2 linked regions of the Oryzias latipes genome follow. The protein of the gene in region 2 binds, or shares a complex with, the protein of the main gene of each other region. Links are inferred from orthologs where the notes say so. Each region holds a gene or a part of one and is shown on either strand. Other genes may lie near its edges.

The links.
Region 1: pold2 (region 2) and pold4 share a complex: the UniProt entries of both Homo sapiens proteins name them as parts of the tetrameric DNA polymerase delta complex. The link is inferred for Oryzias latipes from reciprocal best matches to the Homo sapiens genes POLD2 and POLD4.

The regions. Positions count from the first base shown.
Region 1 is NC_019859.2:1,163,056-1,168,579, reverse strand, and holds pold4 (DNA polymerase delta subunit 4), read left to right. Parts: upstream 1-2,140; 5' UTR 2,141-2,274; intron 2,275-3,531; 5' UTR 3,532-3,599; coding exon 3,600-3,705; intron 3,706-4,130; coding exon 4,131-4,214; intron 4,215-4,488; coding exon 4,489-4,600; intron 4,601-4,924; coding exon 4,925-4,949; 3' UTR 4,950-5,086; downstream 5,087-5,524. UniProt on the Homo sapiens protein: As a component of the tetrameric DNA polymerase delta complex (Pol-delta4), plays a role in high fidelity genome replication and repair.
Region 2 is NC_019867.2:18,719,853-18,725,639, forward strand, and holds the start of pold2 (DNA polymerase delta subunit 2), read right to left. Parts: upstream 3,918-5,787; 5' UTR 3,794-3,917; intron 3,653-3,793; 5' UTR 3,646-3,652; coding exon 3,420-3,645; intron 3,343-3,419; coding exon 3,221-3,342; intron 3,135-3,220; coding exon 3,011-3,134; intron 2,942-3,010; coding exon 2,827-2,941; intron 2,754-2,826; coding exon 2,555-2,753; intron 2,436-2,554; coding exon 2,355-2,435; intron 1-2,354. Other genes in the region: nono (non-POU domain-containing octamer-binding protein), read left to right, coding at 4,361-5,677. UniProt on the Homo sapiens protein: Accessory component of both the DNA polymerase delta complex and the DNA polymerase zeta complex.

The DNA.
Region 1 (5,524 bases), on a different chromosome or scaffold from region 2:
GAGCTGCTGCGGTTGAGAGAGCCGCGGTTATCTTTTGATTTCTTCATCATTGTTAGTTTAGATTTTGAAGTATTAATTTGAAAAATCTTCACGGAAAAACTTTTGCTGTTGTTTCAAGGCAAAGGGTCGGCGAAAAAAACAGTTTGTGCAGCGAATTCCCAGTTTTAAGAACTCACAGAAGTTTCTTACATGCGGTCGCGGTCGCCATCTTGGCCCCTCTCGATTCCTCTGTTTAGTATTTACTGTTTATTGGCGCTCGTCTGCCACCTACAACAGGAAGAGGCTCTGTGCACCAAGTCAACGGTGCAAACCCCGTGAATCAGATGTTTGGTTTTCACGGCTCTGTTCCCATGAATGTCCGGTCTTGGTGTCAAATTAATACGGTCGCAGTTGTTAACGTCTCCTTCATGATCACGTTGGCAACGCTTCATGCTCTCGTGTTTGGAAGTGGACGCCACCCACACGTCACTAAATCAGAGTCCCCGATTGGTCACAGAGCTACAGAGCTGCATCGCTGCGTTCAGCATGAAAAAGTTCAACCAGTTGAACCGTCAGCGCCACCAATGAACGCCGGTTTGTGCGCAGAGCTCGCCACTGGACTTTAAAACGTACACAGCAACGCGCGATCACCAGCGTTCCGGACGCAGGAACCTGGAATTCTGGTCTAGACTGGGGGAGGAGCCGGTGCACGCCGGACACGGCTGCAACATGTCCTTAACGTGTTTCTGAAAGGAATGAGACCTCTGTCCGTGCTTCAGGAGGATCTAGAGACGTGATTGGGGGGCTGTGCCCTGGAGACCACCTAAGTCATTTACTGTAGAATATTTTACTGTCCAATAAAGTGAAACCATGTTCATAAAAATATTGCTCTTACTATTTGTATGGGAAGGTTAGACGTGATGTAGTGCAGGGATCATCAAGTTAGCAGCTGTTAGGACTTTTTTGTGCTACGGCTCACCTGAGACCTTTAACGTTTGATCTTTTATGAGGAGAAACTGAAATCCATGAACTGTACATGTCAAATTTCTGTGAACCCAGCTCACGCATACATACCAGTACCATGCCAGACAAAAGCTGATGTGAACTATGCGAGTGGCGCTCGCGGACCCCCCAGCGAGGGTGTGAGGAAGCAGCAGCAGCAGCAGCAGCTGATGTTCTCCAAGTCTGACATTTCACAGCCGCATCAGGGATTCCAAAGGGAACCGTCAAGTTCCTCTCTGAGCCTTTACCTCCACATACAAGTTTTTTTAATGGCATGTTGTTGTTTTTCCACCAGAACCAAACTGTCCTCACCGTGTCGAGGCTTTATTGCATCACTACACGCACACAATCCCCGAAACACAAACGCACATCCAGACGGATCACATGGAAGTGTTCTGACATGGAAAATGGGAGATTAATGGACAGACACATCAGAGGAGAACCAATCAAACTGCTTTTTATTGATTTTGACATTCAGGACCAGAGAAGTAGAGAAAGAGGAAACCGGCGGCGGTCCCCCCGGCGGCGTCCTTCCAGGCAGCCATCATTAGGGGTTGACCTCCAGCCACATTCCCACCGTCTTCGCTGTAGAGTCTTTTACTAAGGGCAGACCGCAGAGATCACGCCGCTGCATCGTCCTCCTGGGTCTGTAAGTTAATGGGCCTCTACAGGAAGACGGCGTGTCTTCTGTTCACTGATGGATGGATTGAGGTTTGAGAGAAGTTTGCTGCTTTTTGCCAGACTTCGTTTGTTTTTTAAGTGTGAGTGCATCTTCTAATGGCATATTATTGTTTAAGTGCATCTCTGTCATCTTTGACCCGCTGAGGCATTTCAAAGTGCTTCACAAAACCCCATAAGCTTTGCACCACACCCAAAAATTCTATAAAAGTCATTTTTACTAAACTGCAGGGACAGCAACCGGCTAAAGGCAGACTTTGCAGCTTTCAAACAGTTTCTGAGGACTGTAACATGTCTACGAAGAAGAAAAAATTATCTTTAAAAATTCAAGATAAAATTTTATATAGATAATAACTCCTGATGTGTTTTTATTGGTTCGTTTCATGTCATTTCGTTTCATTCTTGCATCAGACCGTTTGCGTCAGTGTGGTAAACTGCTGTTCAACAGTCGCCGGCAGGGGGCAGCAGAGGCGCGCGGCGCTCCAACTGGTCAGAAACACGAAGAAGAGCGCGCGCCGTGGCCGTCATTGTTTTGGTCCTCCGCCCTGCTGCTTTCTGCAAATCTGTTAAAGAGGAATAAATATTCACGGAAATCTTTTTGTTCTCCAAAATCAGGTGAGTTCATTTCGTATTTGTTCGGTTTTCTGAGCACTCTGTTGGCGCAGGCGCACTACAGTACCGTGTTTAGTCAAAAGTGAAAGCATATTATTTTCCTGCAGATTTCATCATAAAAACATTTAGTTTTTAAAATGAAATATATTTGGGACATTAAGGTCTGATAATGTTTCATAGATAACTGCGGTTAAGGTGTAATTACGTGTTTAGACTGTCCGTAAAGCTGTAATAAAGGCTCGAGCAGGTAAAGGGGCGTGGCTTCAGACTACATTCCACTTTTGAAAAAAGTCAAACTTGTTTTATTAGAAAAACTTTTACGAAAACCTTATAATAAACGTAGGGAGATGTAATAAGTCCTCATGCATAAGCAGACAGACTCCATCAAACTTTAAATCATCAGGAATTTCTGTTTGTTTGATTTTTATCTTTGATTAAAAAATAAGAAATTCCTAAATGTGTTTGAGTTCAACGAACATCACCTACTGAGTTTTCCTCCATAGCAGCATTTTAAAATGTCGTTCAGAGCAGCAGGATCACAAAGATGAACTGGATCCTAGAAGAAAATACAGATGACTGCATGTTTTTGGTTAATTTGTCTTCATTTTTGTGCTTTTCTGACCAACTTTAACCTGTTAATTCTAAAAGGAGAACAATTTAAATCACTTTAGGTGCAACCTTTGTGAAGAGGAGCCAGATTTATGCTGCTTTCTCAGCAGCCATACTATAATAAATGCAAATGAGTATTTTCATGTCTTCACAGAGAACAGATCTAAATATGTTTTTACCTAAATGACTGTGAATGTTTATGAATGTTTATATTTGAAGACCAGAGATGAAAAAGTCTGTCTGGAAAATTTTGGTCAACATTAAATCTGAATTTCTATGAAATGTTACAAACGATTCACTATTTCCAACATAAGTCACATGAATCTAAGTTATTCAGAAGTTCAAATCATTTTGGTTTAGATCTCAGAAACAATAAATCTCCTCGTTTGGCTCTGAAGCTCAAGCAGCTGCAGGTTGTTGGTTTTAACCAATCAAAATCCAGAAATCCTCAACCTTAGAAAGTTCTGAAGATTTTTATTGATTTAATGACAGGAGCCTGCAGAACGGGCTGCATATGGCGCTTGGTCCGGACTTTGGACATGCCTGCTGTAGACCGTTCTGTCCTGCTTCTGGAGGAATCATAAAGAAACTGATTGTGCAATAATTCTGTGAGATGAGGTATTACTCAAATGGACGAGTAATCTGTTACAGGTAGAGTAACTTGCAGGACGCTGTCATCGTCTCTGTCTGCAGCTGCATCATCGGTACAGCCGGTCACCATGACAACCAAGCGGGGACTCATCACTGACTCCTTCAAGGTGGTGAAGAAAAAGAAGAGAGAAAGGAAGCAGGAGAAGAGCCCCACGCCGCCCCCCCCTCGGACAGGTGGGGATCCTCCGGGTGTCCGCTGATGTGCGCGCCGTGCACGAGCCACGCGGCGTGCACGAGCCACGCGGCGTGCACGAGCCACGCGGCGTGCACGAGCCACGCGGTCACAGAAAGGTCACCTGAGGTCACAGAAAGGTCACCTGAGGTCACAGAAAGGTTACAGGAGGTCACAGAAAGGTCACCCCGGGTCACTGAAAGGTTACAGAAGGTCAAGAGTCCCATGAAAAGTGTCTCCTCCTCTGTCAGAGGGCTGTAAAAACGTGTTCTGTTTCTCTGAGTACAAAAACAGACGAGTATTGAAGAGACAAACTGTAAATGACATAGAAATAGAATCTTTACAGACATAATTATAAAGAGACATTAAAAAATAAATTCTACCTTTCAGGACTTTTTTGTTTGAAATCCGTTTTCTGCTTTTGCAGAAAATGTTGCAGACACCGTCCAGCAGGAGGCGCTGCAGAAGCTCAGAGACTTCGACTTGGAATTGAGATTTGGGCCGTGCACAGGTATGGAAGCAGATGGGGGGGCACGCCTTCAGTTTGCAGCTGGAGCAGCACTGGGGGGGTGGGGGGGTGGGGGGGTCTGGTTGATCTATAGGAAGCAGATCTAAACGTGTCTGCCGGACTTTGCTCCAGCCTCTAGAGATCACAGGAATGCTTTCATGTTAAATAATTAAACCTACTTTCCTCACATTTGACCTGAAATGGGAAGAAAAGAGACGGTTTTGGGGGAGCATCTCCTCTTGGAGGGAGGAGTGCAGCTTTCCTTCTCTGTTTTCAGGGATCAGTCGTCTGCAGAGGTGGGAGAGAGCAGAGCTGCACGGCCTGGACCCCCCCGAGGAGATCAGGGAGCTGCTGCTGAAAGCCCCCGCCGACCCCGAGTACAGCCTGAGGTGACACGTCCTGAAAAAACACACACTGTCCTACTGTTACGGCCAGCTCGTCTGCAGGCGGGTCACAGGAGTCCGGGTCACAGGAGTCCGGGTCTCAGGAGTCCTGGCAGAACCGCAGCGGCTCCTGAAGATGATCAGGAAGAAAATGCTTCTAAATGTTGAAATCCGGCTTTTCCACGTTCAAATAATGCAGACTTTCTCTAAAAAACGGAGATGATGCACTAAAAACTCTGACATCAGGGATGATTTTTAAAACTCTTTAATCTCAGACACAGATTTTTATCTTCTTTAAAAACTCTGACTCTTCATCTCCTTTATTTTCAGCCTGTGGAGCGAATATCCTTTGTGAGTCTGGAGGAGGAGGAGCCAAAGCCTGCAAAGTTCCACCTTTTTACGCCGTTTATCATCATAATGATCATGTTTCTGCATCACAACACGTTCTGTTTTTATGGACCGGTTCTGTTTTATTAAACAGGTTCTGCTGATTCTCTGGCTGCCTATGTTGTTGGGGGGGGGGGGGGGGGGGGGGGGGGGGGGGCTCTTCAGGTAATGTCACCTGCTGAATGTTTGGTATTAGAATCTGGAGGTGGGCAATAACACACAGATCCAAGCACCGTGTGATGGAAGCCACGGGCTCCACTCACTGACACACTTTTAGACTTTTTATAGCCGACCCAAATTTCTTTTTTTTTTTTAATCGGTTCGTCTATTTTAGGATCAAGTCTGAGGAAATGGACCCAAAGCCACTTCCTGCATTCTTAACTGTTATATTTTATGATGATCAGAAAAAAATATCAATTACTAAAATCCTAACCCAAAAAAGTGAATAACATTGTTTATATGGTATATTTATCGTTAGGAACGCTGTGTCATTTATTTATTCTGCAACATTTCCATGTTTTCTTTAAGTCCCGCCTCCAGAGC
Region 2 (5,787 bases):
AGATTTGTTACAATGGATTATTAATTTCTACTTGATAAAATAATGGATCTTTGCTGTTAGAGAGGTTCCACACTCATCTTGGTTCAGTTATTTAAAAACTAGGAAACAACATGAGGGGATCAATAAAAATATTTTCACCGGAAACTGTTGGCTGCCTGAAGAATCAGGTCTTGGACTCCCGACTGTTTAAGTTAGATCTTTATTGGTTTTTATTGGGTTTTATTTATTTTTGTTTAATTTATTGATTTTATGCTGTTTGTTTTTGTTTGTTGTTTTGTTTTTACCCAGCGTTGTTAAGCACTTTCTAAATAAAGTTGACTTTATTTAGTTTTATTATTGCTGTCTAAAAATTGTTTAAATAAATTGTTTCAGTGACTGGCAAAATATCTCTGTTTTCAGGAAATAATACCGTTTCATAAAGTAAAAAAAAAAAAGGATGTGACCAAAGCAGATGACGTGATTGTTGGTAAAGGAGACACTTTGTAACAGATAAAAGAAATTAAGATCTTTCTCTTTCGGCTTTTCCCATCAGGGGTCGCCACAGCGAATCATCCTTTTCCACCTCACTCTATCATGAACATCTTCTACCCTAACGTTAGCCAACTTCATGTCCTCTGTTAAGACATCCATATATCTCCTCTTTGGCCGTCCTCTTGCCCTCCGGCCAGGCAGCTCCATCTCCAACATCCTTCTACCAATATATCCACTATCCCTCCTCTGAACATGTCCAAACCATCTCAGTCTGGCTTCTCTGACTTTGTCGCTAACACAGGCAACGTGAGCCGTCCCTCTGATGTACTCGTTCCTTATCCTGTCTAACCTGGTCACTCCTAAGGAGAACCTCAACATCTTCATCTCTGCTACCTCCATCTCAGCCTCTTGTCTCTGTCTCACTGCTACCGTCTCTAACCCATAGAGCAGAGCTGGTCTCACCACTGTCTTGTACACCTTTCCTTTGAGTCTTGCTGGCACTCTTCTGTCACACAACACTCCTGACACTTTCCTCCAACCGCTCCAACCTGCCTGCACTCGCCTCTTCACCTCTTTTCCACAATCCCCATCACACTGAACTGTTGACCCCAAGTACTTAAACTCCTGCACCTTCTTCACCTCAGCCCCCTGTAACCTAACACTTCTACCTTGATCCCTCTCGTTCAGACACATGTATTCTGTCTTACTACGACTGACCTTCATGCCTCTTCTTTCCAGAGCAAACCTCCACCTCTCTAGCTGTTCCTCCACCTGCTCTCTACTCTCACTGCAAATTACAATTTCATCCGCAAACATCATTGTCCAGGGAGATTCCTGTCTTACCTCGTCTGTCAGCCTGTCCATCAGCATAGCAAACAAAAAAGGACTCAAAGCTGATCCTTGGTGTAGTCCCACCTCCACCTTGAACTCCTCTGTCTGACCTACAGCACATCTCACCACCGTCATACTTCTCTCATACATGTCCTGAACTACTCTGACATACTTCTCTGCCACTCCAGACGACCTCATACAGTACCACAGCTCCTCCCTCGGCACCCTGTCATACGCCTTCTCTAAATCTACGAACACACAATGCAGCTCCTTCTGACCTTCTCTGTACTTTTCCATCAACATTCTCAAAGCAAAAATGGCATCAGTGGTGCTCTTACGGGGCATGAAACCATACTGCTGCTCACAAATCTCCACCTTCTTCCTAAGCCTGGCTTCCACTACTCTTTCCCACAGCTTCATTGTGTGGCTCATCAACTTTATTCCTCTATAGTTGCTGCAGTTCTGCATGTCACCCTTGTGACATGCAGAACTGCAGCAGATAAAAGAAATTAAGATAAAAAGTAAATAAAACCAGGTTTTGGCAGGTATTTCATGACAACAATTTAAACGATAAGTTTATTGATTCTGTTTATAACAGTCGGTTTCATGGAAAGTAGTTTAAACATAGCAAACAAACTCATCAAATGTTTTAGAAGAAATGTGACATTTTATTTACTTATGTACTATTTTTCCTTCTGCTTTGATTAAACAGGTCAACATTTGTGAAATGTATTGATTTGAATTTCTGATTTCTGGTCACGAGTTTGTCACAGCTGATAGTTTATTTAACTTTGCAATAAAGTGAATTTAAACTAGAAGAATACATAAATGCTTATTCTCTTTTATGTTTTACTCTTTATTTTAATTTTCTAATTTTTGGGTATTTTTTCAAAATAAAAGAAGAAAATAAAACAAAACAAAAAAAGAGTTTGAATGGTGCCAAAGTAAACCCATAAAACAAAGACCTGGCAAACAACAAAATGCGTCCTGCTATATTATAGTTATCGTTGGTAATAGTTTAATCTTAGATGACTTTTACACAGCCGGCTCACCACCAGCTGAAGCAGCAGCTCATCAAGAACACGGATGGCTTCCACACTGCCAGCCTGGGTCTTCTTTGTGAGGTACTTGGCCTGAAACAGGAAAAAAAAGGCATTTGATAGTTAAAAGTAAAGTTCAAAAAGTCAACTTATCCAAAATAAGGACAAAGATGATAAGGAAAGTCAAGTGGTTGCATGTCAGGGGGGATGACCTTTGTTGATGCGTCTTTATCCTGGGTGTTTTGGCTCAGGAGGTTTCCAGCCAACAGAACCCGGGAAATTGCTGCTGCGCCGCTTTGTTCGCCTGTGTCTCCAAGCTGACCGGTGACCATGTCAACCAGCAACTGCAGCCCCAGCATGCTGTCAGCATTGTGGCCCCCTAACCCGAGTCCTGAAGCCAGGAGGACAAACCTGTGCCAAGACAAAGCTTTAATGAGCTGCAACCCTTAACTGCAAAGGTTTACCTGTGCACACCTGAGCTCACCTGTCTGAGCTGAGCGCAGGTCTTGGTGTCTGTAAAGGAAGATCAGCCATGCAAAAGTCCTCAACGGTGAACTTGCCATCGTTCTTTTCAGCTCCATATATTGCAACGACACTACCTAAGAGGGGCAACTTTTTTTTAACATAAAGAATTTATTAAAGTATCAAATATCATCAATTACACTGACCTGTGACACACTTATCTTTATCAAATTTGCCCTCCAACTTGATCCTCTGGAGTTCATCCTCTAAAATCAGCTCATCTGCTTCACTGATGTATTTGGCTCGTGCAGGCTGAGGCAGCAGATTGTGCTGAAAAACAGACGTCCAGGATCTTTAAAATGAAAGGAACAGATCAAACGTGGCTTTGTTTATCCAAAAAAGACCAGACTCCTAACCTCTTCACTGATTTCCTTCAGGATGGATGGCTGCAGCTCCATTCGCTTGAACAAGGTCCCCACAATACAACACTGCTCCCCCGGTTCTAGGTCGCACAGTTTCTTGATAAGAACATTAGATCCTGACAGAGAAGAGGGGGAAAGAAGTATTGGATAATCAAGTGATGGTTAAACTGGCATGCTAACATGATGAACTCACCCCACTTCTGCTGAGCTCTCTCTGCCAGCAGGGGCCTCATCTGCATGAGTCTTGCTGCATAAATGTGAGCATACTGACGACTAAAGCTCCTCTGACCAACTCTGTAACGATCGGAGTACAACTCGTAGGGTAGTGATATCCTTTCGAAGGTAGGGCCCTGCTCCTCAGAGGCAGGGCTGCAGAGAAGAGAGGGGCCATTCTTCTGGGCGCTCACGTCAGAAAACATGGTTTTCCTTTAAAGGAATTAAGTAAAGGAACATTAAAATCCTTGTTAACCAGTTGAATGTTTAAGATTCAGCGTCCCCCTTTACAGCAACAACATATTATGTCACTGACTCATTTCCCTACAAATAACAAAAGTAGAACAACAATACCTTAAACGGGAAGTCCTTTTAGATGTTTTAAGAAAAAGCGCAGTTCCCGCGGAATAGCCCGCTAAAGCTTTTATCGGGAAGTCTCGCGAGACGTTAGTTATGTCTTTCCAGCATATCGTTTATCTAATTAATGTTTTTGATTGTTTATTTGTTTGCTTGTTTGTTTAAAAAACGGTATGAAAATAACATTTTAAAAGAAAACGTGAATGTAATCGTTTTACAAATATTTTTTTAAATAAACTTTATTGCACAATATGCCATTTTACAAGGATATACTTTTAGGTATGCAATAAAAACACAACTGCAAATATCAAATACACATATTTAACAAACAGAAGAATAAGAATAGAAATAAAAATGAGCCAGGGGTTTAAACTCTAAGAGAAATCGTCTTACAAAGATGCCGTCAGGAAATTTTAAGTAGATGTCGCCTACATGTGACGTCACACAACCGTCAGAGCAGCGCACCGTGTCGCCATTTTTGTTACTCTTTGTACGACATTGTTAGCCCCTTGTACTGCTTTTCAAAGCACACTTTACCAGATTTTTTGACTTCTTTGTCAAATAATGCAAGGAAACAGAGGCCCTCAGCATAACCACGGCCACAACCGCCAGGGGGAATACTTCAAAACCGAAGGACCTAATAGCAATGGCCAACAGCCGGAGACCAGCGAGCAGACCAACCCCAACGCGGCCTTAACCATGGACCTGCAGAGCTTCAGGAAACCCGGAGAAAAGACCTTCACACAGCGGAGCAGGCTGTTTGTGGGAAACCTACCCACAGGCGTCACAGAAGATGACCTGGAGAAGCTGTTTGCAAAGTATGGTAAAGCCAGTGAGATTTTTATTAACAAAGAAAGAGGCTTCGGCTTCATCCGCCTGGAAACCAGGATCATAGCTGAGATCGCCAGAGCCGAGCTGGATGATCATGTATTCAGGGGCAGACCTATCCGAGTCAAGTTTGCTACGCACGGTGCCGCTTTGAGTGTAAAGAATTTACCAGAGTTTGCCTCCAACGATCTCCTGGAAGAAGCTTTCGCTATTTTCGGGCAGGTGGAGAGGGCGGTGGTGATTGTGGATGACAGGGGGAGGCCCACGGGGAAAGGCATCGTCGAGTTCACCTCAAAGCCCGCAGCCAGGAAGGCTCTGGATAAATGCAATGATGGTGCCTATCTTCTCACAGCCTTCCCCCGACCCATTACAGTGGAGCCCATGGAACAGTTCGACGAAGATGAAGGACTGACCGAGAAGTTGATCAACAAGAACCAACAGTATCACAAAGAACGGGAGCAGCCACCGCGTTTTGCTCAGCCGGGCTCCTTTGAGTATGAATATGCAATGCGTTGGAAAGCCCTGATGGAGATGGAGAAGCAGCAGTACGAGATGGTGGACCGCAACATGAAAGAAGCTCAAGAGAAGCTGGAGGCTGAGATGGAGGCAGCCAGACACGAGCATCAAGTGATGCTGATGAGGCAAGACCTGCTGAGGCGGCAGGAGGAGCTGCGCCGGATGGAAGAGCTCCACAACCAAGAGGTGCAGAAGAGGAAGCAAGCGGAGCTCCGGCAGGAGGAGGAACGCCGGCGGAGGGAGGAGGAGATGAGGATGCGCAACGAGGAGATGATGAAGAGGCAGCAGGAGGGTTTCAGAACCAACTTTTCTGAAAACAGAGAACAAGATATGATGATGCACATGGGTGGTCACGGGTTGGGCATGAACAGAAATTCCCTAGGTGGGAATTCTGGACCTGCCAATGCTGCTGCTATGGCTACAGATAGCGCTCCGATGATGGCAGGTCCAGCAAACAACATGCCTGTAGGAGGACAGAGCGGCTTCCCCCGAGGCCTTCCGGGGCCTGGAGACTATAACAAGCAGCGGAGATTTTGAAGAGCTTCTTCCCTTGTCTTACTATGCTCACTGTAATTTTCCATTTTGGGTAGAAAGTGTTACTTTTGGACTTTGAAATGTGCATGTGTTTTTTTTTCTACCGTTTTTAT